Notamacropus eugenii: one gene and its partners. The protein of the gene in region 2 purifies or fractionates together with the protein of the main gene of each other region. This does not show direct contact. Links are inferred from orthologs where the notes say so. Each region holds a gene or a part of one and is shown on either strand. Other genes may lie near its edges.

Region 1 (7,292 bases), on a different chromosome or scaffold from region 2:
CTTTTAACACAAATAAATCAGATTTAAATAATTGGAGAAATATTAATTGTTCTTAGGTGGCCACGGCCAACGTAACCAAAAATGACAAGTCTATCTGATCTTTGTTCAGTGTCATCCCAATTAAACTACCAAAAAATTATTTTGAGCTAGAAAAAAAATAAAATTCATTTGGAAAAATAAAAGGTCAAGAATGTCAAAGGAATTAATGGAAAAAAAAAACGTGAAGGAAGGAGATATAGCAGAGTCAGACCATAAACTACCATAAAGCTGCAATTACAAAACTATCCGATATTAGCTAAGAAATACTATGGTGGATGAAAGAGTAGGTATACAATACACAGTAGTAAATGGCTCTAGCAACCTTGTGTTTGATAACACAAAGATCTTAGCTTTTGGGATGAGAACTCATTTTTTTGGCAAACATCTGGGAAAATTGGAGAGCAGTCTGGCAGAAACTAGGTATGGGCTAACAGCAAAATAAAGTCAAAACTGACAGATGATCTAGACATGAAGAAGAGATATCAAAAGTAAAATAGAGGAGCATGGAACATATTACCTATAGGATTTATGGATAAGAAGAATTTATGAATAGATGAGAGTATTATGTGATGTAAAATGGATAACATCCAGAGAAAGAAGTATGGAATTGGATCACAGAATGAAGCAGACCATTTTCTTTTGTGTTATGTTTTGTTTTATGGTTTCTTTCATTCATTTTAATTCTTCCATGCAACATGACTAAAGTAAAAATGTATTTAATAAGAATGTATGTGCAGAACCTATATAAGACTGCACGCCTTCTCAGGGAGGGAGAAGGGTGAAGGGGGAGGGAGGGGAAAAAATCTAAGATATATGGAAGTGATTGTAGAAAACTGAAAACAAATAAAAAAACTTTAAAAATGGAAATTTTGATGACATTAAAAGTTTCATGACATTTATACAAGTTTTTGTACAAATAAAAACAACATAGCCCAGATTAGAAGAAAAGCAGGAAACTGGGAGAAAAATTTTAGAGAATTTCTCAGATGAAGGTCTCATATCTCAAAGATATAAAGAACTTTATCAGATTTATGATGAGTCTTTCTCCAAATGATAAATGGTCAAAGGACATGAACAGGTAATTTTCCGATGAAGAAATTAAAACTGTATGTAGTCATTATGAAAAAAGGCTCTAAATAATTATTGATTAGAAAAATGGAAACTAAAATAATGTTGAGATATCATCTTACATCTATCAAATTGACCGCAATGACAGAAAGGGAAAATGTCAAATGTTTAAGGGAATATCGAAAAATTGGGACTTTAATACACTGCTGGTGGAATTGTGAACTGATCCAATAAATTTAGAGAGCAATCTGGAATTATGTCCAAAGAGTTATAAAACCATGCATATTCTTTGATCCAGCAAGGTGATTAGGGAAAAAGAAAAAAGAACTTATATGTTCTAAAATATTTATAACAGCTCTTTGTAGTCACAAAGAATTGGAAATTGAAGGCATATCCATCAATTTGGGAATGGCAGAATAAGTTGTGGCTTATGACTGTGATGGAATACTACTGTGCTGTAAGAAATGACAAGCAGGCTGCTGTTAGAAAAATATGCAAAGACTTCCATGAAATAAGAATGCAGACCAGGAGAATGGATGTATACAATAAAAGCAATATTGTATGAAGAGTAACTGAATAACTAAGCTACTGAGTAATATGAACATTCAAATCAATTAGGAAGGCCTTATGATGCTATCTCTTAAAAAGAAGTGATATGAGGGAATATGTACTGTATAGTACTACACATTGTTCTGTTCGCCCATTGTTTTTGAAGAAAATCGTGACATCAGAGAAATGATGACAGGACTTGCACTTGACTTTGTTTTGAGGGAGGGAGGGCTGTGCAGGTCACCAGCCTCACTTCTCTTCCAGAGCCACCTGAATCCAGTGACCAGATATTCATCAGGATGACTAGGGAAGGCCCTTGGCCTTTCAGGGTAAGGCCTTTTCAGGTACTCCCTTAAAGTGAGGTAATGCCCATTCTGTAAACAGGCCTCTTTAAAAAGCAGTCAGGGGATGACCCCTTTAAACAGAAAAAAAGTAAAATAAATCAAGCTGGGAGGGGCAGGAGTCTCAGGGTGGTTGTTTCCACCAGAAACAGTTACTATTGACATTCACTCTAAGCCAGGATTACACATGGTCATCTTTGGGGGAGAGAAAAACACTTCTCCCCATCTATTTTCTTTAAATTGTGTACACACACACACACACACACACACACGTCACGTCTCCGACTCCCCACTCTTCGTGACCCCCTGGAGGTTTTCTTGGCGAAGATACCAGAGTGGTGGGCCATTTCTTTCACCAGCTCATTTTACAGAGGAGGAAACTGAGTCAAGTAACTTGCCCATCTTCCTGGCTCCAGGGACAACCTGTTTCCTCGTCTGTAAAATGGGAAGAAAGACCACAGAACCTCAGGGGGTCAGAAGACAGAACATACGTAAATGCTTCGGAAACCTTTCATCGCTGACCTCTACAGGCTGAACCCGGAAGCACAACGTCCATCCCGAAGGCCCCCTCATTTTCCCCTTGAGGGCGGGATTCGACCCCAGCCAGCGCGGGGTGAGCGTGGCCCCCGCCCGGCCCCAACCCTGCTCCCGCCCGATGCTCGCAGGCCGGGGTCCAGACGATCGAAACTCCCCGGAGATCTAAGAAGGCCGGGCTCGCGGTTCTCCGGGAGAGTCCGTCCCGGTGGCTGGGTTCCCTTTCTCCTGCCCGCCCAGCTCCCCGGACCGCACCCAAGTCAGCCCGCCGGAGGAAGAGGGAGAAACCGCGCCCGTCGGGCCGGGGTCGGGAGAGATCGGGCACGGCGCATCCCGGGTCTTACCGCGGTCAGAACCCTGAAGTCGTCCCGCGTCAGGTAGCGTAGCTTGGCCACGTTCACCTTCCCCATGGCTGTTACAGGAGACAACCCGCGATGGAATGTTCCCAGCACACATGCCCGAACGAGAAGGCGCCTCGGGCGCATGCGTCCTTTGGCTGCCAGGTCCTTGTCGATATATAAAACCCCAAGATTTCCCTTTCGAATAAAAAAGCAAGCGGTCTTCTTTGTTTCGGGAATCAGGGGGAATTACAAGTTTAATGTTTTTCACAGTGAATCAAAGAGCGAAATTTAATCCTGGATGTGGAAAAGTGCTCTTTCTGGGAGGTTTATTCTTTTTAATCTGCCAGGATTGGCTACCTAGGTGAAGTGTCCTGCCGGGGGTGGGGGCCCTGGGAAATTGACGAGTGGTGGGCATAGCAGTTTCTTCCAGGTTAGTTTCTATTGCTGCCTTCCGGCACCGTGGTCTCCTAAAGAGGGTGAGAGAGACAGAAAGACTAGGCTGGGCACTTTGGACCTGGAGAAGTTAAAGGTAAATAAGTGAATAGTAAAATAAAACCAACTTTATCTGGAGGCCCCCTGTAGCACCTTCGGGGATAAGGTGCTGGTCAGAGTGGTTTAGATGCACTGTCATGGACTGGCAAGGGAGTGGACTTGGGAGTCCTCATTCCAGTCCTGGAGATGACAGTTACCAACTTGGGGGTGCTTGGGCGTATCTTGTCATGTCTCTCCCCCCAGTTTTCACCATCTGTAAAGTAGGAATTAGAACCCTTTCTGTTGCAAAGGGGTTCCACATTGTGAAGCTTGGTTGGTTGGTTGTTGTCCTGCGTTCTCCAAGAGGACCAAAATGACATCACCTTGATAAAGTGAAATTTCAGGGTGTCCTTCTGTGACTGATGAGACTGGGAATGCTCTACTACAGGCTGGGCCCAGACAGTCTGTCTGAATATGTGAGGTGAATACTCCAAATTTGCGCCTCCTACATCTACTTTGTTCTGTCTCAATTCTGCTTTGCCATAGAGCACAGCACCCTTTCTGATATGGTCCTGTGCCAGTGTCTCCCATGTTGCACAATCAAATCCAGAGTTCTTGAGAGTGTCCTTCTATCACTTCATCTGACCACCATGAGTTCTCCATAAAATAGTCTTTTTGGCAAGCGTACATTTTGCATTTGAACTCTGTGGCCAACCCATCAGAGTTGTGCTCTCTGAAGCACAGTTCGAATGCTTGGCAGTTCAGCTTGAACAAGGACTTTAGTGTTTGGTACCTTATCATGCCAGGTGATCCTCAGAATCTTCCTAAGACAGTTCAAATGAAAGTGATTCAGTTTACTGGCATAGTGCTAGTAGACTGTCCATGTTTCACAGGCATACAACAATGAGGTCAGCACAAAGGCTCTGTATACCTTCAATTTGGTAGTCAGTGTAAATACCTCTTCTCTCCCAGACTTTTCTAACTGTGTCATTTCATTCCATTCTTGAACATGAACTTCCAGGAAATTGACCTGAATCAGGCCTTTCCTGGATCTGAGTAATGTGCCTGGTCAGAACTATGTCTCAAACTTTAGGTACCCTGACTCAATCGGACTTTTATACTTAGGCTACCAGGAGACTATATGTCAGTTAGTACTTCTAGCCTTGGTTCCCTGAATCAATTAAATCTCACCAGTTTAATTGATTTTCAGGGAAAAACTAATCTAACCTACATGTCTGGAACCTTAGAAGATATTGTTCTTACTTTATACCCTGTTAACTCTTCTATGGCTTAATAGAGAGTTTACAGTGGTGAAAACATTCATCACCCTTTGCCTAGTCTGGTTACAGACTTCTCTAAGTATAATAGATAGGGTGATGAACAACAGCAATAATTGGTTGTTTCCCAGTTGACAAATTGTGAAACTTGAAACAGCAATACTATATTACACATGGTGTTCCCCCAAAAGCTACCAAAGATTCAAACTATTCAAAACCATATCTCATGAAACTCATTATCCTTTTTCTCTGCCCCCATATACTTTTACTTGTTAAAGGATAGAGGACTCAACTGATACAGAGCAAAGCACTTAATGAAATTGAATAATAAAGTAACATGAAAACATTCCTGCCACAAACCTAGAAAATTCTTTTCTCCAAATACGTGCATCATTGGTAGGAAGAGTAGCTATGTGTAGGGATCATGCTGGTAGGAGAAACTCATGCTTCCATGCTGTAGGGTGGATGATATTTTCTTGTAATGACATTGTATTGGTCCTTGGATTTGCACCCTGCTGGGCAATTGCTCTCTCTTGGACTTATATTTGATTATCAAGTTATGTCTGTGGAAGTCTTTGCTTCTTTCCCCTAGTTCTGTGTTCTCTTTCTCCTGGTCATATCATGCCTCTGGTCTTATGGGTTGCTGCTTGTTATAAACTTTTGGTGTTCATCTCATCTCATCCTTCTCAGCTCCTATCTGCTAGGCTGAGGTAGACAACTCCTTCCTAATGTGGGTGGACTGAGAACTCTTTAGTCATCTTGGTTATGACTATCACACCCAGCTAACCAAAGCTAGGCAGAAAATTTTAGGCTAACAGTAAGTCTTTTCTTTTAACACCATGTGTCTGGGGTTGAGTTGTTACCCTATGTATCAGTCAGCTGTCTGAATTAGGGTTCTAAGTTCTGAAGATCTCTGGTTTGGCAGCCAAACAAATTTGATCTAGAACAAAATCTAAGCAAAGAAGATAAAGGTCACTCTTCTCTTTCCATCTAGCCAACATTCTTCCTTCTGTTTGCTGCATGTCAGCCACAGAATCCCTTAGCTTCAATACTGTTTTGTCCACAGAAAAATCTTGCTTACCTCTTGCATACTTTCTATATTAAACCTGCCATGCTTTTCCAGTTTGGGAAACTATTTTTTATTTGTTAGAAGCTTTGAACTTTTTTATATGTGTGTTTTGTCAGAAATCCCTGTTAAAATGAAGTGAGGTTTGTTTGGGAATGTGTACCTAGAGCAGAGTTCCTGACTAAGGCTCCCATCTCTTCTGTGAATACTGAGAAATTGAGGAGTCAGAGGGTGGAGAAGCATAGCAGTGATAATTGAAATGGAAGTCTACCAGGTAAGCTCTATTGAGGACTTCTGTACCACATAATAGCCAAATATAAGATATAAAATTGGCATATAGAAAATATTATAAGATACAGAGAGATGTTATGAGGAATCCTAAAGTTTGGGGTAAATTCATCGGAAGAGCATTTCATACTTTTCAATCTCAGCAACATTCAGAGCAGAGACGATTTTTGATCAGGACAATCAGGTTCCATTTCTATGTACTGAGGCAGTTTCTGTACCCTGAAACTCAAAACCTCCATGAAGAGGTGGCAGATATAGAGGATTACTGTGGTGGTGTTGGTAGGGAAGGTGGAATTCTAGGAGGTTTTGACACATGTATGTGGCAGGGGAAAGTTTTGATTGAGAAAGCATGCTTCTAGATTTCAATCAGGAACATTGCAAGTAAAATCCCATCTTGCTTACTAGTTGTTTGACCCTGGGCATGTCATTTAACTTGTTTACTACAATTTCCTCAACTGTGAAATGGGTATGATAACATATAATAATAGAATAAAATGAGTATAATAATAGTACTGAGGGAAATGATTGTTAATACACAATGACTTGGGGAAATCAAAGGACTTTTCTTTCAAAGTCATGATTTTAAAAAGTTCAGTCTCTTGAAGGGCATTACTGATGAGACTGAACCCCACCCTGGTAGAGTAGCTTTTGTGTTCTGCTCAGGCTTGGGTGGGGCATGAAATTCTTTGAATAGATTGCCCAAGGCACAAGTGGTCTGGGTAAGATAAGTCAAGGATGATATTCCCAACCTCTTATTGAACACCTACTCTTTGAAGAGTACCAGCTGCCATGATTATCTTTGGTTTAAGAAAGAAAGGCCAAATAACCATCCTTTTATCAATAACATGTTGGCCTTATTAATAAAATGATTAAATTATCCAGAAATTATGTCTCTTGAACCTTTTTATTGTCACAGCACCTAAGTCAAAGAGTTGTTGTGAGGATCAAATGAAATAATATTTGTGTGTCTGGCATGTAGTAACTGATATATAAATATTTATTCCCTTCCCTTTTTGTCAGTCTAGTCTGTTTGATGTTCAACCATATGTAGCACCACAGCAATATTCACAGCACCTATGGCAGCTATGAATATGCCAGCATAATTCTGAATCACAAAATGTAACAGACTTTCCACATGGAAAATAGAACCAAAACATTGATTTAGACACCAGAAAACCAAATCCATCATAGTAACAAATAAATCCATCATAATAACCAAGAAGTCTATACACGGTATCAGGCCTTCCCACAAACACTCACAGTCCTGGCTGCCTGTTTCCTCTGTCCTTCCCAACTCTGACTAGTCTGACCAACTCCC
Region 2 (7,605 bases):
CAAGAACCTGCTGGTAAATTTTCAATGGCTATTTCCTAAGTAGTCAGGTCTGCCTATTTTCCACCCTCCTCAGCAACCTCCATCACTCTCCAAGACATCCCCCCCACCTCTAGTAGGGCCAATGTCTTTGCTAGCATATGACTATGTGCTGCTCCTCCTTGCACCTGTCCCTTTATCCATTTTATTCCCCTCACCTGGAGAGTTCTTCCCCTTGAGGGAAGGTCTCCCACCTCCCTGGCCTTAGTACAGCCCCAAATCATATTCACCTGCCTGACTCATGCTGAATAGTGATCTGCTAAAGCCTGGAGATTTTTTCAGACCAGCTGTTACCTAACCATGTCTCTCCCACTGATGATTTCATCTCTCAAACCATGACTTAGATAAAGCACAGAGGCATCCCTAGTCTATTTTCAGATGGAACGTAATGGACTAAAAGCATCGATTAAGCACTTACTACGTGCCAATACAGATCTACAGAGTTAGCCATAACTATCATTCTCTTTCCAGTAACAATTAACAAAAAAGAAAAATTTTTAATCAAAAAACAAAAACGAGCTGCCAGCTTCCTTGGAAACCAGCCGATCATCAGCAAGTACAGCCCAGTGATACCACACACCTGCATCACCATGTCCAGGCCTTTGCTGGCCTTGATCACCCTGGGATTTAGAGGAAAAGGGTCTGGGGGTGCGTCAATCTGCTTGATCTGGAAATCACCATGCCCAACGATATGCAGGAGCCGGTTTACGTTGAGAGTCTGCCCACGAACATAGCCTGAAACTTTTAAGGTGCCCACCAAGCTGCTCTCTTGGCTGGGCACAAAGTCAGCAGCATGGGCAAACAAGTAGGAACGCCGGTCTCGGAAGGCCAGATGCCGCTGCTTCTGGTTAGCCAGATGTCGCAGAAGCAGCACTGCATCCTGCTGGGTATCCAACTGGAGCAGTTTGTCTCCTGGAAATCGCTTATCTAAGGCCTTGCTCAGCTTCTTCTTGGCATCTGCTTGTTTCTTTGGGAGAAGGCCCCCAACCCCCTGGAGGGCTAGAGCTGGGCACAAAAACAGACAAGTAGTTATGAGCCATGAAAGCCCACTGCAATTAATGAACCGTTCACTCTGCACTAAACACAGAGCACCAAACCCAGCATAGAGGTGGCAGACAAGGGACGGAGGATAAACCCACAAACTAAGACACTCAATCAGTACTATGTGGGTAACTTGGCCCCTAAGAAGAGGATCCTACCGCTCTCCTAGAGATGGCTGATAATCATAATTCACTTACAATATGTAGGAAGCCCCTGAGCAAAGAGGCAAGAGAGGCAGTAATCGCCTGTGCTGTCCCAGCCCTCCACTGGATCCAGAACAAACAGGATGGTATCAGCCACTTTGGCAAGGTCCAACAGAGTGTGCAGATCGCCTGGATTCACAAGGCATCAACAAGACATCACAAACACTCAGAAAACACTAAGAACACTGGCCAACTAACTATGACAGGGACAGTCCAAGTCAAGCTCAGCCCAACGCTGCTCCTCCCTTGGCCTTTCACCCACCTGGTTTTGCAGATGTAAAGAACCATCGATGCTTCAGCTGAGGACAGAGCAGCATGAAGCTTGGCATTCCAGCTTGCTCCCCCACAGGCACAACCTTCTTGTCTGTGTTCTGGAGCAGCTGCAAAGCCTCACCCAGGGAAACCCTCTCATGCAGGGGCACCAGCAGCACCTGATGAGGTGGTCCATCCTTGCTGCCCAGTTGCCTCTTTTCTGCCAAAACCTGAGGACAGAGAAGAGAGGCGGGTGAGCACTTCACAGGCAGGTCCACCTGCCCTATTTCCCTCATTCTCATACTCAGTATTCCATTCAAATGATCTCTCTACCTTGAGGACCACAGAATTGAGAAACTATCTAACCCAACCTCCAGTCTTAAGGAAACAAAGTCTTATTGAGGGAGGGAGCTTGTTCCGGGTCACAGCAAGGCCAGGATGAAATTGCTGGTTCTCCAACTCTTACATGCAACAACATTATTTGGGGGTACCACACTGTCTCTAAAGGCATCCTGCACCCTGGACCAGGATGCTCTATCTACAGCGAGCGATGGGGCCAGGAGAAGAATGCTGACCAGACCTCTAACTCAAGGCAGGGCCTCCTCATCAACCACTATGGGGCATCTTTGTGTCGGACGCTGGGGGAGAGGCCAGAGACACGAGGACAAAAGTGGACTGTCCCTGTCTGCCAGGAGTTTTTGTTCTCCGTGAGATTTACAGCACGGAGTCAGCACCAGGGAACTAAGGGGGGTGGTCCGGGAAAGGCAGCAGGGGAGAGGAAGCAGTGCCGGGAGGCGAGGGCGGTTCTGAGCAGGGAGTTTCGTGATGACTTATTTCTTGGGAAGATTACTTCGAAAACAGCGTGGAGGAAAGACAGAGAAAGGAGAGGCTCCACAGGGAAAGGTCCAGTAGGATATGGCAGTAACTTAGACAGGAGGGCGGCCTGAACCCACGCGACGGCCACGTGAGAGGGGAGGAAACTGGAGTTTCGGCTAAACTTCGGGAGATGCCGCGGAAGGGAAGGGGGCCGCTGGGGTTGGGGGCAGGCGTTCAGCCCCCACCCCCCGCCTCACCGCCTCCTTCTTCTGCTTCCGGAGCTGGCTGGCCCGGTGCCTCTGGTCCACTCGGCTCAGCTCCTTCCTCCTCCTCTTGCTCAGGGCCTTCACGGCCACGCGACCTGGAAGGCGGCCCCGGGAGGGCAGAGAGCCGACCGTGAGTCCGGGGCCCTGCGGCAGCCGAGGCGGCCGACTACGGCGGAGGCCAGGGCGGAGAAAGGCCTCCTGCGCCCGCAAGGACGGAGAAAGGGCTGAGCTGAGCCCTCCTTCCGCCCGCTCCCGTGACCCCCTCACCTTTGCCGTCCCGCTGCGCCGAACCCCGACCCCGGTGGCGCCCGCTCTTGTGGGCCTTATTCTGCTGTTTGAGCGGGCCGGCGCGATGAACCGCCATATTGCTCCCCACGTGCGTGAACCTACGACTTCCGGTGCTAAGCCCAGGGGTTCCGGTTCCGCCAGCACAGAGGCCTGAGTGGGTGGGGGCTCTGCCAGGGGGCGGAGTTTCGGTGGAGGGGCGGGGCTTTCCCCAGTTTCAAGAGTAGATCACTCCTCAGCCAATGGGAGTATTTGAGACCTACAGCCTATCGCGCTCTAACCTTCCCCCACGTGGTCACCTGCGGACTTGGGGGCTTTAATTGCAAGTTCGGTCAGGCTTCCCCAGAACCCTCCCTCGGCCTCGGAGTTTGCTTCTTGTCTCCTGGTTTACGAGAATACCCTGCTTTAGTTGCGGGGGATGGGAGGGCAGGTTGGCTATTTGCTTGTGACTATGGAGACCCCACCCCCAGGCCCTTCCGAGCTTCTGGCACACAAGGACGGAGCCTCCACTGCTCTGCGTCTGGTCCTGCAGCCCAGAGCTGCTCGTGACTTCTCCAATTCACATCAACCGTTTTTTTCCTTCCTTCCTTTCAGGGCCCTAGTGTCCTTTTCCTTTCTGCAGAACTCCCCGGGGAACTAAAGGATTTGGAATTGGAAGGGCCCTGGGAGGTAATCTCATCACCATTATCATCAAAAATTTATGAGGCGCCCACTGTGTGCCAGGCGCCGTGCTCCGCCCTGAATGCCACAGACAGACAAAAGAACAACCCACCCAATTTTCTAGGTCTCCCAAGTCACTTAACAGAAAAGAAAATGGGCTCAGAGAGGGGAGATGCCTCTCAGCCTAAGTCTTCTCTCCTAACTTCTGGAATTGGGACTAAGCGAATGTTTCAGGCTTAAAGCAAGTCCCTTCACCTCTGCACACACACACACACACACACACACACACACACACACACACACACACACACACACACACACACACACACACACACACACACACACACACACACACACACACACACACACACACACACACACACATCATCCTGTGACTGTCTCTGGCCAAACTAAGCCTAACTCGACTCCAAGACCCAGAGTTTGCAACCCTGCCATCGCTCCCCACACCCCAGCTGCTGCGGATTGTAAACAGGGGGTACCCGCCCTGGAACGAATCCGGAGGCAGAGTCGAGTCAAGCAATATCAATTTATTAAGCATCTTTTACGCACGAGGCACTGTGCTGAGCACGGGGGGTGGGGGTGGGGATTTAAAGAAAAGCAAAAAAAAAAAATAGCCATTGCTCTCCACGAGTTCACTACATGCAAACAATTTGGTACACAAAGATATAGCCAGATATACGTTGGACTTCATCTCTGAGAGAAGGTAGAGGAGCGGAAAGAGCGAGTGAGCGAGAGAGCGAGCAATTCATGTTTATTTCATCACCCAGATTCCCAGCCTCCAGCCTGGGGTGCTTCTCCATCCCTTCGGAAACCCTGCTGGCCTAAGGTTCGCCCAAGTCCCGAGCTGGGGCGGAGGATAGCTCCTTGCAAGCCCTGAAGGACTAATATTACTGCTCTAGACCCTGCCACAGTTACGGGGTTCTCAATCCACGGGGCTCGCCTTGTAGACGCTCCCCTCCAGTTGCCTATGCCCTCGAACTGATCTCTCTGCTCGGCAAGAGAAGCCGTTATACTTGGGTGGCATCCACCTTTTGGGGCCCTCTACTTTTCAGTCGGGTAAAGAGTCTCCCTCCTCTCCCCAAGCCTCCCACTTCCCCACCCAGGGGAATCCTGTTGCATTGTCCCCTCCTTTCTCCCACCATTCCCGGGTCAAAGGAGGTGGATGGGTGGGGGGCCCTCGCAGTGCTCCAGACGCACGCCCTCGGGACTAGGGGTGCGGGGGTGGGCGGGGGGAGTTCGTTGCCATGGCGGCGGCTGCTGGATGGCACGCGGCTCCCAGGCCAGCCCTCCTCGCTTCCCCCGCCCCAGGTAGACGCTGCCTCCCCCTCCCGCCTCCCCAAGCTCCCCCGGCTGTGGGAAGGGGCCGGGCCAGCCTCCTGACGTCTGTCTGTGCCGGGCTCGGAAGATGGCTGCGGAGGGGAACGGCGGGCAGCGGCGGCTGCAGGGTGCCGTGAGCGCGGCGGCAGCGGCGGGCCGGGGCTCCGCCTTGCCGGCGGGCAGCTGAACCGCGGAGAACCGGACCAGGAGCGGGGCCAGTGGCAGCAGCCGGGGCTAGTCGGCGCGGGGCTCCGCTCCCCTGGGCACAATGAGCCGCACCGAGGACGCAATCAAAGAGAAATTACTGTGGAACGTCAAAAAGGAGGTGAGGTTCGCGCCGGGAATGCAAGGAGCCCGGTCCTAGTGGGTGCACCCCAACAAGCCCCAGCATGGTCGGGAGATAGGACTCCAAAAGGTCCAGCCTCGGCGTGGCCCAGTGCTTTAAGGTCCCCTTCTTGCTTTGGAAGGACCCTCTCTGATTTGGGAAGACCCTGTACGAGGGGGAGAGTCTCATCCAGCGTTCCCCGGTGCTTGTTTTCTCCGCGGTCCCTGCAGCTCCCCACCCTATGACGGCAGCAGCAGTTCGGGAGCGGGGAGGGGGGCCAGGGGGGAGAGGTAGTTCCTGTGGAAGAGATTGAAGGAGGGGGATAAGGTTCATTCATTTGAAACCCCGCAGGAGGGAAACGGGGGGGCGGGGCGCGGTTTCTGAATGGATTCCCTTGGGAGCCGGGGCAATTCAGGGCACCCACCCCCAGCTCTGGGGCTCGAGGGTCGTTGAAGTTGGAAGCTTAGCTTCCCGGCTCCCGGGACCTGGGACTTTGCTGCAGAAGGGTTTTCCGCACCCAGACTGTTTCTCCCTCCTCCCACCCCCATAAGCCAAACCACTATCGGGTTCTTGCCTGAGAAACACCCGTGCGATCTTCTACATTTTCAGCCTGTGGGAACCCTTGACTTTCCAAATAGGGATGCCCCCTTCCCCAGTTTCCTTGTACCTTGCCACTCTGGCCTCTTCTATTCCCTGTTGCTTTCAGATGCCATTTCCCCCTTCCATCAGTGTGATTCCCTCCCTTGTTATGGTCTTAGCTGCCCTGCCATGTTCTCTGCCCTTTATGGGGTTCATCTCTGAAAATGTCCAATCGACCCAAGCATTTATTATTATACTCAAGCCAACCAAGCCCCTTTCTCTGCATCCTGATCTTGGGGCCCTGTCTTCCAACCATAGACATCCCAATATCCACACACCCCAACCCTACTTCTGAGCTATTTGAGAGCAAATGTCCCTAGGGAAAAGAGAACCCCTCCCCTCAGAGCCTAGAGGGAAAGGGGGAATTCTTTACTTGGGGCATGCTGGGCTGTGTGGTAGACCAAGGCTTAGATGGTCTCTTAGACCCTGTAAAAGGCTAAATGGAAGTCTGGCAGGATCCAAGAGGCTGGTGTGGTGACCAATTTCAGGACCCAGGGTAGGCTGGTTTCAGGGGTCTTTGGGGGCAGGGATACTGCTTCTTAGCAAAGAATCCTCTTTTCCTTCCTTCAGGAAGGACTGCACTAACCCACTCTTAAACCCAAGGTTGACTGCCTTTCCTTTGTATATCCATTCTCTTACTCCTTTCCACAAAGGTAGGGATGAAGCTTCTGAAATTTGAAGGATGCCTCCTAATTCAACCAGCCAGTCAACAAGTATTTATTAAGGGTTTCCTATGCACCAGACACTCTACTGAGCTCTGTAAGGTACAAAGAAAGGCAAAGACAGTTCTTGCCCTGGAATATTGAACATCCTAATCTCCCCTGTTAGTAGTGAGATTCCTGAATGCACCTGAATGAACATAGCCAGGAAGACATTAAACACACCAGATCCCCAGACAGGCAGACTGATGACCAACTGAATCTTACCCAGGGGAAATAAATAAAACCAGCTCACAAGTAGAAAACAGACTCTGTTCTCAGGGGAGATGGGCCGGATGATGTGGGAAGCAGGACACACTGATAAAAAAGCAAACTAGGACAAAGAGCCTAGCCTAACCGGGTTATATTTGGACAATGCTGAAAATTGGTGAGGTTTGTCAGGTGAGGGGGAGGCCAGGAATCTGAAGATGTCGAGCCAGGCCATCATAGGATCATAGATTTAGAGCTGGAAGTGAACTGAGGGGTCAACCACCTCAACTTTACAGATCAGGAAGCTGAGGCCCAGAAAGGTTAATGACATGCCTGAGGTCACAGCTATTTAATGACAAAGTTGGTTTTTTAACTCAGGTCTTCTTGACTTCCAGTCCAGCACTCTTTCTTTCCACTGTTTCCTTAATGAATGAGACCTAATCAAAATGAGTGGTTTCCAAACAGGAGTAAGGAGGCATGCCTGTAATTTACAAGCCCCAGGAATCAGCAAGGCTTCTCACATTCCCTGGATTAACCCTGAAGTTATTCACATCTCCACCTGTAGGACTTTAGAAGTAATTGATTCTGGGGCAGCTAGGTGGCCAGATAGCTAAAGCACCAGGAGTCAAGAGGACCTGAGTTCAAATTTGACCTCAAACACTTGACACTTTAGTAGCTGTGTGACCCTAGGCAAGTCACTTAACCCTGATTGCCTCAGGAGGAAAAAAAATGAATTGGTTCTGGGAAACTTTACCTTGCTTCTCACTAAGTGGAGCCCCAAGCTAAAAAAAGTCCTCTTGCAGGCAGGACCAGACTTTCTTTAATGTGGAATAATA
Region 3 (7,662 bases), on a different chromosome or scaffold from region 2:
TCCATCTGGTATATCACTTGGGCCCAAAAAACAACCAGAAAGAGGAGGGTATAGTGGGCTGTATCACATTTTCTATCACTTGAAGCTAGAGCAATGTTTTCCATTTATTACTGTCTTGGCTGCCCTTTCCTGTCTTTTCTAGCACTTAGCCCTCTATAACTTTCTTTCTGTCACAGCTTGCCCTTTTTATTTTCACCTTAATCAAAGCAAATAAGCTTGAGGACCCCCACCAATAACTTTGCCCTTTCCTCAAGGTTTACCAAGGAATATTACTAGTCTGTAAAACTGGGGGGTTATACTAGATCAATTAGTAAACAGGTATTTATTAAGCCCTTACTACGTGCTAAACACTTAGGATACAAAGAAAAACAAAAATAAGGTCAGCGTTTTCCAAATCTAAAAACGCTGTGTTGGGAAAAAGATCTAGCTTTTGAGTGGGTTCCATTCAGCCTTCTGAAGCCTCAAAATAGGAAGGAAATAAGCATTTATTAAGCATCTACTATGTGCACAGTGCTTTAAAATATTATCTCATTTGATCCCCGCCAGGTTGTTGTTGTTCAGGTGTTATCATCCCTATTTCACAGTTGAGTAAACTGAGAGAGACAGTGGCTAAGTGACTTGCCCAGGATCACTCAGATAATAAGTCTCTGAGGGTGGATTTGAATTTGGGTCTTCTTGACTCCTGGTCCAGCACTCTATTAACTGTATCACCTAGCTTCTTCAAGGGCAAGGTATGAGGAGCTTAGAAAAAAGAAGAAGCAAGCAGTAGGAAAAACAGAATGTAGAGGGAAGGAGGATAATGAGATGTTACTTTTAAAATATATAAATTTTAAGAAGTTTTTTTAAAAAGGATTTTTGATAGTAAAAGTTTTGGTCCAAGGAATGACAAGGTTCTTCAGGTGTTTCAAAGGGCATTGTGCCAGACTGCCTCACAGCAAAGGAGGTTCTGATGGGTAGTCCTGCAGGAGGTTGTCTGATCCCTCCATAAGGGTTTGGGAAATGGAGAAACTACAGTGCAATGAGTCATTCAAAGAACCCTGAGCACCATATTATTAGTGAGGCAGTAGGTATCAAACCTACCATTGTATTGTGAGTAAAATGTAATGAGATTCATGAGTTTTTCTTCAATTTTTCCTTTCTCATCCCTTTACAAGTTTTCCCAAGATGGGAGGTCTTAAGACCAAATGGCCACCCTTAAGACAACCCTTACGCAGCATCTGAGTTAAATCTTAGAATAATCATTGCAATTTCCCCTTTTCTGCTTTATAGCCATGTAGTCTCCTTCCCTTTATTAGTTCTAGCTCAGGTTATATTTCATTGTTGCTTGGGTGCAGGGAGACCAACAAATAAACAAGATTTAAAGAAATTGAGCCAAAGAGTTTCAGTGACTTGCCCAAGGTCACACAATCAGCAAGGGCCTGAGGTGACATTTGAACTCAGATCTTTCTTATTCCAGGTCCAGCACTCTATCCAGTGTGCCACTAGCCACCTCTATGCATATTGTTATCTTAAGGGTTAACAACACATTTTTGCTGTTGTTGAAAGGGGTTCAAGAAACAAAAAAAAGTGAGGAACCATTACTATAGGAGAAGTTCTGTAAGTAATAACAGCAGGGATAGCTGGCAGGACAAAATTTCCCCCACCCCGTGCCTTTAAGATCTCATAGGCTCTGCTGCCACACAAAGGTTGAGGGTACACATTAATCCTGCTGGATGAATGGCTTAATGTGTTAAATGCTGTATCATTGTGCAAGCAATAACCCATTCAGTAAACATATTTAGCAGGGGCATTTAAAAGCACCCCAAGCTTTCAATAGAAACAATTTCTTGTTTTATTTCCCAGATGTCCAATAAAGCTACAATGTGGTTTAAGGAAATAGGCTTTTAATATCTCTGACTACTTTCTCTCACTTCCTGAACCTGTTTTCCCATCTGTAAAGTGGTAATAAATACTCGCATTCCACACCTCACAGTTTGGCCCGAAGAAAGTGATTTGTGAACTGCAGGGTTACAAAGTTATAACAAGCTGTAGTCTCAGTCAGTTACAAAACTGGCTGACTGCTGATTTCCTCATTCAACTAGACCAGTAACTCATCGATGCTCTATTATCCCTATAATTAAGAACAAACCTTCCCGACTGTTGCCCAGAGTGTTACAATAAAAGGCATCATTCTAAACAATCCTGATACTCTATATGAAAACACAGAGGTAAATTCAATGATATTTGCTTTACAGAAGGATTCACCTAAAATCCCTTTAAATAAGGAACCACACTGGTTCATTTTAAATGATTCAATTTGCAAAAGAAAATTTTTAAAGGAATGTATATCCATCTCTCGCATGAAGCAAGGTGCTCCTTTATTGTATATTTACCAAAAACTCTATCCTAGTATCTCACAATTTGCTTAATATAGAATAAAAAGGTAGCACCAAGTATGTTTTAGCCAAATTTACCCAAGCTATCATAATTTTGCACTGAATATATTATAAATTGAAAGTTGGGCTCCCCTACTTTTTCAAAAGGTTGCTTTTAAAAGATGAGTAACTATGATTAAGAGGCTGAGAAAAGGTTCCTTTCTTTCATATCTCGATGAAACTAGACCTAAAGTTCTGTGACTTTTTTAAAAAAGTATTTTGAAATAGGAGATGTTCAAAATAGTTTTATGGATGAAGTAACTGAAACCTACAGCTAAGTGACTTATCCAAAGTTCCAAAACTAACAGAGGCAAAATATGAACCTAGGCTCCTGCTTACAACCTCAGGGCTCTTTATCAGCACCTACCATCTGGTGCTATGCTGTGAGATTACATCTCACTTCACCAACAAACGTCCCCTCAATCAGGGATGCTCCCAGGCTGTGGGATCCAAATGAGGTGAAAACAATAGCTCACATTTATATAGTGCCTTAAGGGTTGCAAAGCAACATCATCACATTTCTTCCTTAAAACAATCCTGTGAGGTAAGTGATACTCTACCACTCATGTAAATTGGGTGCAGTGAGACAGAAAATCTAGTGGATTTTTCCTGCCAATGTGAAGGAAGAAAGAGTTGGGGCAAAGGGCAGATGCTTGTTAATATTAAAAAACTGATTTAAAAAAAAGCTTGATTCACTCCTTGATTTGGGGCAAATCAGCTTTCCCTTAGTTTCTCCCTCTATAAATAGGTTTGTTGTGAAGAAAAACTTACTGTAAAGTGCTATAGAAATAGATATTACTATTCTCAGTCCCAGATTTGCTACAGAGTAGCTATTTAAATGGGGGGGGGGTGTCAGTCATTTCTCTTCTCTGAGCCTCAGTTTCTCATTTGTAAAATGAGACCCTTTCAGGTCTGACATTCAATGATTTTATGACCTGGAGCCTTCTAGGATTCAGGGAGCTAGATTCAATGGCCCTGTCATAGCTAGCAGTTACTAACACAGAAGATTCTCTCAGAGAACATTGCAATGGAGATTAGCCAGAATCAGCAGCTCTCAAAGTATGATCCCTGGGAAGTCTTTTCAGGGGACCCTAAGGTCAAAACTATTTTCATAATAATACTAAGATGTTGTTCACCTATTTAAATATTCCTTCCTTTTCTTCTGTGTGAAGTCGGGTTTTCTTCACACACTTCAACCAAAACAAGATAATGAAAGCAGATTGAAAGCAGAGGCAGATATGAGAATCCAGTAGACATTAAAGCAATTTGCAAAAATATGTTAAAAAATGCCACTCTTCTCACTAAGTTTTTTTTTACCATTCAAAAATGTTTGTTAATGTATAATCTATAATAAATTGTTTCCCTTTCAAAGAGGGGCGAAGGAGGAAGGGAAAGAATTTGGAACCCAAAATTAAAAAAAAATAAAATGTTAAAATTGTTTTTACATGTAATTAAGAGCAAAAAAATTAAATAATTACATATATAAATATACAATAAAATAAAATAAATAAATATGATAATAAAATAAATAAAAAACATAATTTAAAGATATGTTACCACTTTATATGTATACTCGATCTCCTACTGCTTGCCTTCTCAATGGGTGGGGAAAGGGTGGGAGGGAAAGAAATTGGAACTCAAACTTTTTAAAAATAAATATTAAAATTGTTTACATGTAATTGGGAAATATTTAAAGAAATAAATAAAAATATATTAAAACCCAAAAAATTTATCTAAGTAGGTAATGCAGTGGATAATAACGCTGGGTCTGGAATCAGGAAGACTTATCTTCCTAAATTCAAATCTGGCCTCAGACACTGTGTGACCCTGGGCAAGTCACTTCACCCTGTTTGCCTCAGTTGCCTCACTGTAAAATGTATTTTTGCCAAGAAAACTCCAAATGGGGTCACGAAGAGCCGGGTAGGATTGAACAATCGTTTTTTCATTTCTAATACCGTATCGATAGCTCAGTCCTCCCTCAGACACGTCGTCTCTCTCTGACGGCCCGGTCTTTTTCGGCAAGGAAGGACGGACACACACACATCGACAGCCATACCCCACGTAAACAAAAGCTCCTTGAAGTCCTCGACAACGGGTCTTGAGACCCGAAAGTCTGAGAATTGCAGTTCAAACAATTTCTAAGATCTCTAAGACCTCCAAGGTCCAGACTCACAGAAACCGGATGTTGACGACTTCCACCATGGTAACCAGGGGAAAGGATCCGGAAGTGACTGGCCGGAAGCGGAAGTGAGGCGCTCGGAGCCGCACGTGGGTGCTGTGCGTGCCGGGGGCTTTGGCGAACGCCGCGGCGTCAGGAGCTGCTACCGCCGTGGGCCCCCAGCCATGGGGCGGTCGGGGAAGCTGCCGTCGGGCGCCTCCACCAAGCTGAAGCGCTGGAAGAAGGGACACAGCAGCGATTCCAATCCCGAAGGTCGGCGGCACCGGCAGGCCGCGCGCAGCCGCTTCTTCAGCCGGCCCTCAGGTAGCGCCGGCCCGGGCCGGGGCCTGGGGAGAGGGGATGGGTGTCCAGAGTTGGCCGCGGGTGGGCGGGGGCCTGGAGGCTGGGGGCCTGCGTTGGGGCGGGGCCTGAAGGGGCTCCGGGACTAGGGCCCTTAACTCCTCCCCCCGTGGGGTCCGAGAAGGGAATGCGGGGAGTCCAGGAACTTCCCCCCTTATGCTTCTTCGTATGTTCCTGTATAACTGGTGTCCGTAGTAATCGTGTTGTTCATTTTGCGCTTTAAAAAGCTGTCCTGAGAAGGGGCCGTAGGCGTCAGCGCGCCCTGGGGGGTCTTTGACCCGAGGAGGGCCGAGGAGTGCCCTAGGAGTCAGGCCTTGGTGTCCTGGGAGCATGTTTGGACAGAGATTGCGGGCCTCGTGAGGCTGAGTGGCCTGTGGGATCCAGGGAGGAGGGGGAGTGGGAAAAGCAAGAGTCACTCTTGAACCTGTGAGATTTAAGGAGGACTTTTAAAAAAGTCAATTTTTTTTCGCAGTAGAAGTCTTACGGATTACTGCTGGTGCTTAGGGTTGTCACTGACGGGGGAATTTTTGAGTCTCATTCCCAGCTGGATTCAACAAAGGAAGATGGGGAGGGAGAGAGGGCATTTTCAGCTTTGGAGACAAGCAAAGGCACGGAAGCAGGAAAATGTTTGGCCAACAAAGGAGAGAACATGTGTGAGAGAAGGCTAGAGACACTAATGTGGCAGTTGAGTGGTATTGGGAGAGAGGGTGGCATTTGGGCCAGATGGAAATGGGGAAAGTGCCTCCGTTCCTGTGGAAAAGCTTGGAAGTTTTGGAGCCATCAGTTTGAATGAAGCATAGGGTAGGGACATGTTAAGCTACTAATGGGGAGAGAAAATGTAGACGTAGAATTGACAGGATTCTGGCAACTGGTCAGGGCCATGGTTCTGAACTTTGGGTGTGTGTTTCATGTCAACCTCATTGGCAGTTTGATGAAGCCCAATAGCATTTTTTTAATGAGTAAAATACAAAGGAAACCAGTTACATAAAATACAATTATCACAATACTTTTTAAAAATAAATTTATGGACTTCAGATTAAGAACTCCTGAATTAAGGATAGGAGAGAGAAGAGCTAAAGATACCTTGAAGGTAAATTTTTAGCTTGGGTGATGGTAGAAATAATTGTACCAGTCATTCATTTAGCTAGATTTAGGTGTTAGGCTTTCAGCAAACACAGAGTATAGTCCCTGCCCTCAAAGAATTTACTTTCTGGGATGTAGGTTGAGGAGTAAATAAGGACTATCTGTACAAAGTAACTTCTGGGGGAAGAACTAACAGCTGGAGGGCCTGCTATAAAAGATGCAGTCTTGAAGGAAGTTGCACCTTCTAAGTAAGGAAGTAATCAATACATTCTAGCTAGAAGGAAATCCTGTGAAAGGTATGAAAACAACACAATTCCTGTTACATTACAATAGGGGAAGATATCATAGATAGGGAAGTGGGCCTAGGAGGGATGTTTTGAGCAGGGCTGCTGAGTGGAGCCATAGAATGATTGTTCGAAGCATCCTTTCTGTGCATGGTAGAGTTGATTTCATTACTATTCCCAGAGCAAAAGCAAGAAGTGACCAGGTGAGAGGGGGGACACATACAAAAGATGCTGTAGAGGTAAACTAGCCAAGACTTGGTGACTTGATTGAATGTAGGTGGTGAGAGGGGGGAAATTCAAGGATAATTCCTAGATTTGGAACCTAGGTGGCTTAAAGGATCATGATGCCCTTATTAACAGGAATTGTATGTGGGACTTCCAAATGGAAAATGTTATAAAAGCAGGATGCAGGAGAGGATGGGGATGGAAATGTAGCTGGATAGAAGTGGTTATTGAAGGCAGCAGATTGGATTGGATTGCTGAAGGAGGAGAGAGTATAAAAAGAAATGGGGAGCATCGGTGGCATTTAGTATATCTGGGAAGAAAGGAGCCAGTTGGGAGAGGAACAATCAAATCAAATGTCAGGAAGGGTTGTTGAGCAGAGTAAGATGCCACTGAGACCTTTAGAAAGATGATAATTGGAGGAAGTAGTTGGATTTTGTTTCATTAGTGACTTGAGAGCTGTTTCAGTAGGACAGTGGTGATAGAAGTCAGGTTGCAGGGGTGAAGAAATAAATAGTAAGGAAACAGAGAGAGCAAATGGAGCCATACTTGGAAAGAGTTTGGTGAAGAGGAAAAACCCAGTGACTTGGGGGGACAATGGCATGGTTGAAGGGAAAAAAAAATTATTTTTAGGATGAGAGACCTGAATATAGAGAGGCAGGGATTAAAGAAAGTCAATGACCTCTCTCTATAAAGATTAACCCTTTTCCTCTTCTCAGAAAAAAGCGATCTAACCGTCGATGCCCTTAAATTGCATAATGAGCTGCAAGCTGGGCCTCTGCCCTTGGCTAGGGAAGAGAAAACTCAATCCCTCATGGAGAATGAAGCTGGCTCAGTGCTCTCTGAGAAATCTTCAGGCACCTTCCTGAGTGGCCTTTCTGACTGTACCAACGTCACCTTCAGCAAGGTGCAGCGTTTTTGGGAGTCCAGCTCGGCTGCTCATAAGGAGGTATGAGTTGTAGGCCCTCTTAGGATCTGTGTTTCAGTATGACGTGTGAAGTTAGTTTGTTTGGTTTCTCAAACTCAACTTCAGGTCTTGATATCAACTGATTTTATTCGGCTTTGGTTACAAATTAATTTGTCTAGCACTGGTGAACTCTTGGTGGAGTTGAAAACTGATCCAGCCATTCTGGAGAGCAAT
Region 4 (7,683 bases), about 190 Mb from region 2:
TGTGAGGGTTTTGGGGGGAGTGGGTAATGAAAATGAAGCTAAGATTGTGGGCTCAATATTCCTAAAGGTCAACTAATTTTCCTTAGGAAGAAAAATTGCTATTCACAAAAGAAATTACACAAGAGAATGTTAGCAATTCAAGACAAACCCATAGCTTCATAACTAATCTGAAATAACAATGTATGGCTTGCTAATGTCAGGTAAGTACTATATATTGATATATAAAATGAGCATCTTTTCTGTACTATGCCAATGTACTCATACTAGCCAAATGCTAGATGAATATATGTAGGAGTATTGATCTCTTCAGGAGCTCACCATATAAAGAAATGCAGCTCCTACCACAGATAATGCTCATAAACCTGCAATCTATAAACTTACTCCAAAATTAAAACTTTTTTTTCTAGGAACTTACTGTCTAACTTTCAGATTTTGAGGAAAACAAAGCTCTCAGAAAACACTGGACATAGTTTCCTGGGTCCATGCTTTTGCACAGAACATCCCATGTGCCTATAATGTACTCTCTCCTCACTTCTACCTCTTAGAATCCCTGGTTCTCTGTTGAGCTCAAAAGCTGCCTCCTATATGAGGTCTTACCCAAGGCCAGTGCCTCCCACCCAAAAAATTAACTTTATGTTTGTTTTGTACATGTGTGTACTTGATGTCTCACCCATTTTAACAGAAATTCCTTGAAGGCTGGGATTTGTTCACTTTTTGTCTTCTCAGTGCTCTGAAAAAGATGTTTTAAAAATGTTTCTTTCACTACTTTACTGATTGATGATTACATGTTATACATATGGTAATAAAAAAGATGTTATTCCATTTAAAAAAATCTGAAGACTTATCACTTTGACACTGAACTTCACATAATTAAAATTTATTCTTGCATGAATTTAGTCCAAATTATTTCTGATTTCCATGATAACAAAGAATAATTTTTAAAAATTTTTCTAAACATTGTAAAATATTAAAACTATCAGGTGATTAAACAGAAAGAAGATAAAAATTCTGGGAAAGATTTTTGAGAGAAAAAATTAACCAATAAAACAAATATCTTATTGTCTATCTTCCCTAAGTTCCTTTTCCATTCTATTTAATATAAGGTTATTAGGTCCCTGTGAGCCTACCACCACATTATTCTCATTGACCAATTAATATATAACCTCATTTTGTGTGTATTTCTGTTTAAAGACATCTTATTTAATATATATTTCTTAAAAATAATTATATGCAGTATTTTCTTTATAATAAAATGTCGATTACAGCATTTTTGTGTAGTGTACTTTACTGTGACTATACTATTTTTTAACTATCATACACATATACACACAGCACATATATACTGTACTCAGTAAAATTTACAGACAGTACTGTGAACAATACTATATATGGTATAATACAGTAATGGAAATAAAAGTCCTAGAAAAAATTAAACAAGGACTAAGCATTTGAAGTTTTATAAAAACATTTACTAAAATCTTACTTTTGGTGGAGCTATAGGATGTGTGATGTGGTGCCTTGTGCAGTTAAATCTCTCCACCAGGGTTTGCCTCAGGAAAACCAGAGAGCGGTTGGTGGAACTTATTCTGCAGAAGACCAAGGCATTGCAAGGGAAGCATGTCAATATCTGGCAACCCTATCTCAGGCGTTTAGCTCTTGCAACTTGTTGATGGCTTTGGCAATTTCCTCTCCTGAACCGGCTTGACATCAGCCTTTGTCTGCTTTTTGGCTTTTCACCTCAGATCTTTAAGCATCTTGGTGTAAGGGGCAAACCCAGTGGAGGTTAGGTGCTTAAATTTCAAGCTGTGCCCAAGCATAGGGTCACATTCTTCCATAATACTGATCATTTCTAATGGAGAATTCCATTCTGATATTTTGGCCTCTGAGAGCAACAATTCTGAGGCTTAGGCAGACTTTCATCACCTTCCTCATTATCGCTGACTCTTTGTTTTGCCATCTCATCCAGGTCTTTGTTGATGGGTTCTACTGCCTTTTCTGCCAAAATTTCCTCCACATTTTCCTCTTTCATGCCAAAGCCTTCTCTACTTATTTGCCATGCATTATGCATTATGCTTTTGACACTGCTCTTTATATTTTCTGTAACACCTTCTAGGCCTACAAACTTTTTCACACAGTTTGACCAAATATTTTTCCAAGTTATTGATAGTAGCCTGCTTGGTGCTATCCCTGGCTGTGCCAAAATAATAACACTACTTATAGTGAATGACTTCCAATAATCCTTCATGGTGATTTCCTTGTTTTTGTCAAGAGCCTTACAAGCCTTGCTATAAAATTCCCTCATGTAATGTGCCTTGAAAGCTTTTACTATGCCCTGATTCAGGGATTGGTTGAAACATGTAGGTTTTGGGGGCATAAAAAGAACTATGTTTGGGTGGGCATTTTTGAGCTCTTCACAGCAATGGACTGGGGCATTATCCAAAATTAACAAAACTTCGAAGGCAAGATTTTTGCCCTGGAGATAGTATTAAACTTTTGAGATGAAGTAGTTGTGAAACCAATCCCAGAATATTTTAGGAGTCATCCATGCTCTTTTGTTCCACCTCCAATGGACTGGCATATGGTTCAGGTTTTTCCCTTTAAGTGCTTATGGATTTTGGGTTCTATACACCATTAGGAGTTTGTTCTTGAAGTCACCCTTGGCATTGGCCCCCAGTAGCAAGTTTGTACAATATTTGCTATATAGCCAGGGGCTTTGGAGGCCAATTGTGTTATATAGGTTCATTTTTCAACATCCTTGTAAAACAAGCCAATCCCTTCAGCACTGAAAGCCTGTCCTTTCACACAACCCTTTTCCTGTGTAACACTTAGCACATATTTTTAAAAATTCTTCCACAGTCCTCCTGATCTGCAGAACCAGTAAGTTGAACAGTTTTCACACAGTATTGCTTTTTGAAGCCTGTGAGCCAGCCAGCACTAGCAGAGAAGGGTTTAACATTTTGCTGACCCTGGGAAACAGGACTATAAATTTCTTTGGCTTTCTTCCTCACCACAGTGCTACCTACTATGCTTTTTTAATTGGTCATCTCATGAATCCATAAATTTAGCCACTTTTCCATCACTTCATCACATACTATAGATGTTAACGGAGCACTTTCTGGAACAGCCTCCTAAACAGACCAGCAAGTTTCCTCTTCCTTTTTCTGGATGTACCCTATCATTGATTCGTTAACATTGAACTCACAGTCAACAGCACTGTAACTCCTGCCCCAACGAAGCTTATCTGATGCATGTGTTTTCTCTATAAGGCTTAGACAGCACTTCAACATTATGCTTGGGGGCCATTTTAAATAGTGAAATCCTCAACAAAAAGCACAAGAATGTGAAAAGTGTGGCAAGGATGTTTGTTTATGGTATAAAAGCTGAACCAAAAGCAAAGAAACATCACTTTGTTTTGACCTCAGCTGGGAACATGCAGGAGGGGTGACTGCATATGTCCAGGAATGACTGCAAAAGCACAGCATAAATTTTAGCAAGTAGGCAACTTTACAAATATGGAATCCAAAAATAATGAGAATCGGGTAAACCTGATATTTTTTGGCACATATTTCAAAGGTGAGAGCATGATTTCAATTTTAAGCTAAATATGGGAAAGATTCTGAATACTTTTTACCAGCTCAGATATCATAGGGAAGAAACTCACGGGAGTTTTGTAAGGAAACACAAAGTGGCTCAAGCACAACCTGAAATTTTTACAGCCTTGAGGATATTCGGTATTCCCCCTAAATAAACTGCTGCAGAACTGGGGGAATGGGACGAGCATTCCAAATATGCTGAAACCAGCCTGAACCTGCAAGCCAATTGTTAAATTTTCTGTGGGAGCATTTACCTCTTGGAAACCTAGGAATTCCAGCTAATACTACAGAAAAAGACTTGATTTACTAATATATTCTCTAAATTCAAAAAAAGGGATGGGGAAAATGATAATAATGTAGATTAAACTTTAAAAATGTGCCTGGTATACTTCTTTTCCCCTCAGAAAGACATTTGTTTAACATTTGCCGGCACATTCTAGGATAAAATCAACCAACTTTGCAATGATGGCATCAGACTTGCAGCTGGAGGGGTCATGTGGTTCAAAGGTGTAACTCACATGGTCACTAAATGATATCCCACAAAATGGTAGTAATGTTAAAAGTACTACAACAAACCCCACAACCCCACAAAATAACATTAAATCCTGTTTAAATAACGGGATCATTCTTGAAGCTGCAAAGAGCCTCAGAGGTCATCCTGCTCAGGGGTCAAAGACCCTCCTCAAAAACGAGGAGATGAAAATGTAACGGGAAAATGTTACCTATGTTTTCTTTAAATACAATTATCTAGATACGTGGTTTTTCTAAGTCAACATGCAGCCCACGGGGACCCTCATCTTATGGTCTCTGAGTCTGACCTCCCTATCTAGCCCCGCTTAGAGTCCACACCATAGGGGGTCTGCTGAAGGAGCTGGGGTTGTTTAAAACGGCGAAGATCCAGGGGTTCCAAGAGAGCTGTTCTGAAGTACTTCAAGTACTGTTAAGTGCCAGAGGGATTAGATTGGATCTGTCGGGCCCAGAAGACGGAACCACGTGCGGCAGGTGGAAGTTACAAAGGTTCGATCTCGACAAGACACAACGCTGTCCACAAGGATAAGCCGGCTCCTCCGCAAGCAGAGACAGGACGGCACTTGTGGAGATGCTCCCATTATGGTTTCTGATTTCTTGGAGACTGGAGATCGGCGGAAGCCGCAGGAAAGCCGCCCGAGATTTGGGCAGGATTGGAGATTTAGGGTCAATGCATTCCCCGCCGACGCCTGTAGAGGGAGCCGGAGAGAAAACAAGCTTGCTCTTCGCAAACCACGCCCCCTCCCAGCTCAGCGGCCTCCACGGTCTCCCAGACAACGACGCCTCCGACGTCTTGGGACGCCCCGCCCCCGGCTTACAAACTGCCTTCCGCCTCTCGGCCCCCAACGGCGCGTGGACCGCTGTCACCCCTCCTTCGGAGGGGGGTGTATATGGATGCCGCTTTCCCTCTCTCCTTCACCCCACAAAGCTCTTCACCGAAATAGAGAGAGGAAATCCCCCTTTCCGGCCTTTCCCTAGCCCCGCGCGAAGCTTCCGGAAGGTGGAGCGAGAGACATTTCGCAAAAGGTCTCGAGGAGAGGGGCGGGCCTCGCGCATGACTCTCTCTTCGAGGATTGGCTTACCTTCTCCGACGCGCGTGGTGACGTATACGGAGCGGGCGCACAGAGCAGATGAGAGGTTCCGGGGGCGTTTTGCTTCCGGAAGTGACCTGCTAGGGCCCTGTGGCCGCCGCGTGACGTGATACCGGCGCGCGAGCGAGTGAACTAGGACCGACCCAGCGTGTGTCGCTCCAACCAGAGCAAGGAATACCTGGGAGTGTGCGCTGACGGCCCAGTCTTACGGACGTGATCCTCTGTCGGCTGCAGCATGGTGAGCCAGGCCACCCTCCTTCCCCGCAACGGGACTTCCGAGGAGTGTAGACGAAAGGGAATTGCCCTGCTGCTAGGCCCCAGGAGGCCTCGGTGCTGGGTTTCGTCCTGACTTCCGTGGGGCAGGTCCCGGTGCTCCTGGTGGCTCTTCCCTAGTGACGTATAAGCCAAAGACCCCTTGTCCGGCCCTCCCTTGAGGAGCTAACTAGGTCCTCCTCCTCCCCCTCCACATAGTTTACACCTGGTAACCAGATTGGTATTTCTAAAGCGCGGGCCTAACTATATCATTATCCTGCTCAGAAGGTTTCAGGTACCTGTTCTGATCAACTACAAGCTACTTAGAGCTCTTTAAAATTGGGTGCCAGATTTTTTGTTTTAATCTCCATCCTTCCAGCTTTTACGTTCCAAAAAAACTTGCTGAACAATCTTCCCCCCACCCCGCTCCCGTAGGACCCCCTGGTTTTTTTGCAAAGGCCAGGCCTGCCCCCCCTTACTGAGGTTACTACATCCTTTCAAAGCCCAAGCCCCTTGTCACGTACAGGGTCTTTTACGTAGTCTTTCTTCATCTTAGTACCTTCCCGGCTAACGATGTATTTTTCCTGCGCGTAATTGAACATCGTTCTTTGCATGTTGTCTCCCCCGCTGTTAGACTGTGAGCTCCTTGAAAGCAGGGCTGCTTGGTTTTGTTGTTGTTGTTTTAGGGTTTTTTGCCTTTATTTGTATCCGCGCTGCTTAGCACCTGACACAGAGTAAGGGGAGGGAAAGGAAAAGCCATTTAGTAAGTACCTGCTTTGGCCAGGCACTGCACTGAATGCTTCACAGATATTCTGTCACTTGATCCTCACAGCAACCCTGGGAGGGAGATGCTGTTTGAGGCAGAGAGCAGTTAAGTGACTTGCCCAAGGTCATGGAGCTATTTTGTGTCTGAGGCTAGATTTAAACTTGGTTCTTCCTAACTCCAGGCAGGAGTCTTTTCATTGTGGCACCTAGCTACTCTCTCGGTAAGTGCCAAAGGGAGGTTTCTACTTCCCACATTCAGGAATCTCCCTCCAATACATCACACCGCTTGTCAGTCCATTAAATTATTCAGTTTAATATTTAGGTGCCTGTGATGTCTGTGCACTTTGCTTATGCACAATTCTTGTAATCTGATGAGAGAAAATTTTATTTTTATATAAATATACACACATATATACATACACACACATATGAGAATGATGGAAACGAAGGTAGAAGAAATTTAGGTAAAGTGGGATAAGAAATTTGAGTTGAAGAGTATATTCACCTTGGGAAGGTGGCAGGAAAAAAGGACTGGGGAAGCTTCATGAATTGGTCAGAGATGTATAGGGAATTTCTGTTTGTCTTTAGTTTGGATTAGATAGATCAGGAGTTGGCAAACTATGGTCTCATTAGCTATTTTTGTATAGCCCTCAAACTAAGAATAGTTTTTACATTTTTAAATAAAGTCATTTTCTGGCCCCTCGACTAGGTTCCTTCCAAGTTTTGGAATTCTCTGAAGAGGTTGCACTTGAGTTAGGGCCTTATTGGATATAGGTGAGATAGGGATCCCTTCCAATGATGAGACATTCTATGAGGAAAGATTTGGGGATGGGAGAGGGCAAGATGAGAACAGGGGATGGAGAGTGACTTTTAGTTTGTCTGGAACCTATAGTTATAATAGTCTGTAGAGGGAATTTGTGGGAGATAAGGCTGAAAAAATCAGTTGGAATTCAGTTAATCAGAGGCAAACTGTTGGGAAACTGCTCAAGTTTCTTAAGTAGAAAGGTAATATAATCCGAGGAGTGAGTTGGGAAGATTACTTGGACAGTGATGTGAAGAGTGTTTAAAAAGAGAGAGATTCCTGAGGCAGGACAAATACTTGGGTGGCTATTCTATTAGTCTAGGCTACAACAATAATAGTTAAGATAGCACTTTAAGATTTACAGGACTCTGTACATTTATTATATCCTTTGATCCTCACAGAAACCGCATGGTGTAGGGGCTGTTATCCACATTTTAGAGAAAGAGTGAATGACTTGTCCAGGGTCACACTGCTGGTAAATATCTCTGGAAGGATTCAAATTGTGATCGTCCTGGCTCCTCTAGCACTCAGTCTACTCTATCTGCTGTAACACCTAGTTTGCAAATATAGTTTTTCAAACTTTTAATTGCCGTTTATGTTAGGTATTATTATAAAAATATTTTACTTACTAAAACTTAATTGGAATAAGACT

The links.
Region 1: the proteins of TSR1 (region 2) and RIOK2 fractionate together in Homo sapiens (co-fractionation; 3 studies listed by BioGRID and IntAct, with this or other methods). This does not show direct contact. The link is inferred for Notamacropus eugenii from reciprocal best matches to the Homo sapiens genes TSR1 and RIOK2.
Region 3: the proteins of TSR1 (region 2) and RRP12 purify together in Homo sapiens (affinity purification with mass spectrometry; 3 studies listed by BioGRID and IntAct, counting the BioPlex papers as one, with this or other methods). This does not show direct contact. The link is inferred for Notamacropus eugenii from reciprocal best matches to the Homo sapiens genes TSR1 and RRP12.
Region 4: the proteins of TSR1 (region 2) and LTV1 purify together in Homo sapiens (co-immunoprecipitation; 4 studies listed by BioGRID and IntAct, counting the BioPlex papers as one, with this or other methods). This does not show direct contact. The link is inferred for Notamacropus eugenii from reciprocal best matches to the Homo sapiens genes TSR1 and LTV1.

Annotation. Positions count from the first base shown.
Region 1 is NC_092874.1:362,528,626-362,535,917, forward strand, and holds the start of RIOK2 (serine/threonine-protein kinase RIO2), read right to left. Parts: upstream 3,017-7,292; coding exon 2,876-3,016; exon of another isoform or gene 2,569-2,875; intron 1-2,568. UniProt on the Homo sapiens protein: Serine/threonine-protein kinase involved in the final steps of cytoplasmic maturation of the 40S ribosomal subunit. Involved in export of the 40S pre-ribosome particles (pre-40S) from the nucleus to the cytoplasm.
Region 2 is NC_092873.1:40,321,533-40,329,137, forward strand, and holds the start of TSR1 (pre-rRNA-processing protein TSR1 homolog), read right to left. Parts: upstream 3,016-7,605; 5' UTR 2,979-3,015; coding exon 2,882-2,978; intron 2,710-2,881; coding exon 2,606-2,709; intron 1,763-2,605; coding exon 1,543-1,762; intron 1,410-1,542; coding exon 1,275-1,409; intron 1,042-1,274; coding exon 617-1,041; intron 1-616. Other genes in the region: SGSM2 (small G protein signaling modulator 2), read left to right, coding at 5,166-5,222. UniProt on the Homo sapiens protein: Required during maturation of the 40S ribosomal subunit in the nucleolus.
Region 3 is NC_092872.1:214,204,110-214,211,771, reverse strand, and holds the start of RRP12 (RRP12-like protein), read left to right. Parts: upstream 1-4,656; 5' UTR 4,657-4,757; coding exon 4,758-4,896; intron 4,897-7,240; coding exon 7,241-7,470; intron 7,471-7,662.
Region 4 is NC_092873.1:232,098,784-232,106,466, forward strand, and holds the start of LTV1 (protein LTV1 homolog), read left to right. Parts: upstream 1-4,682; 5' UTR 4,683-5,447; coding exon 5,448-5,450; intron 5,451-7,683. UniProt on the Homo sapiens protein: Essential for ribosome biogenesis.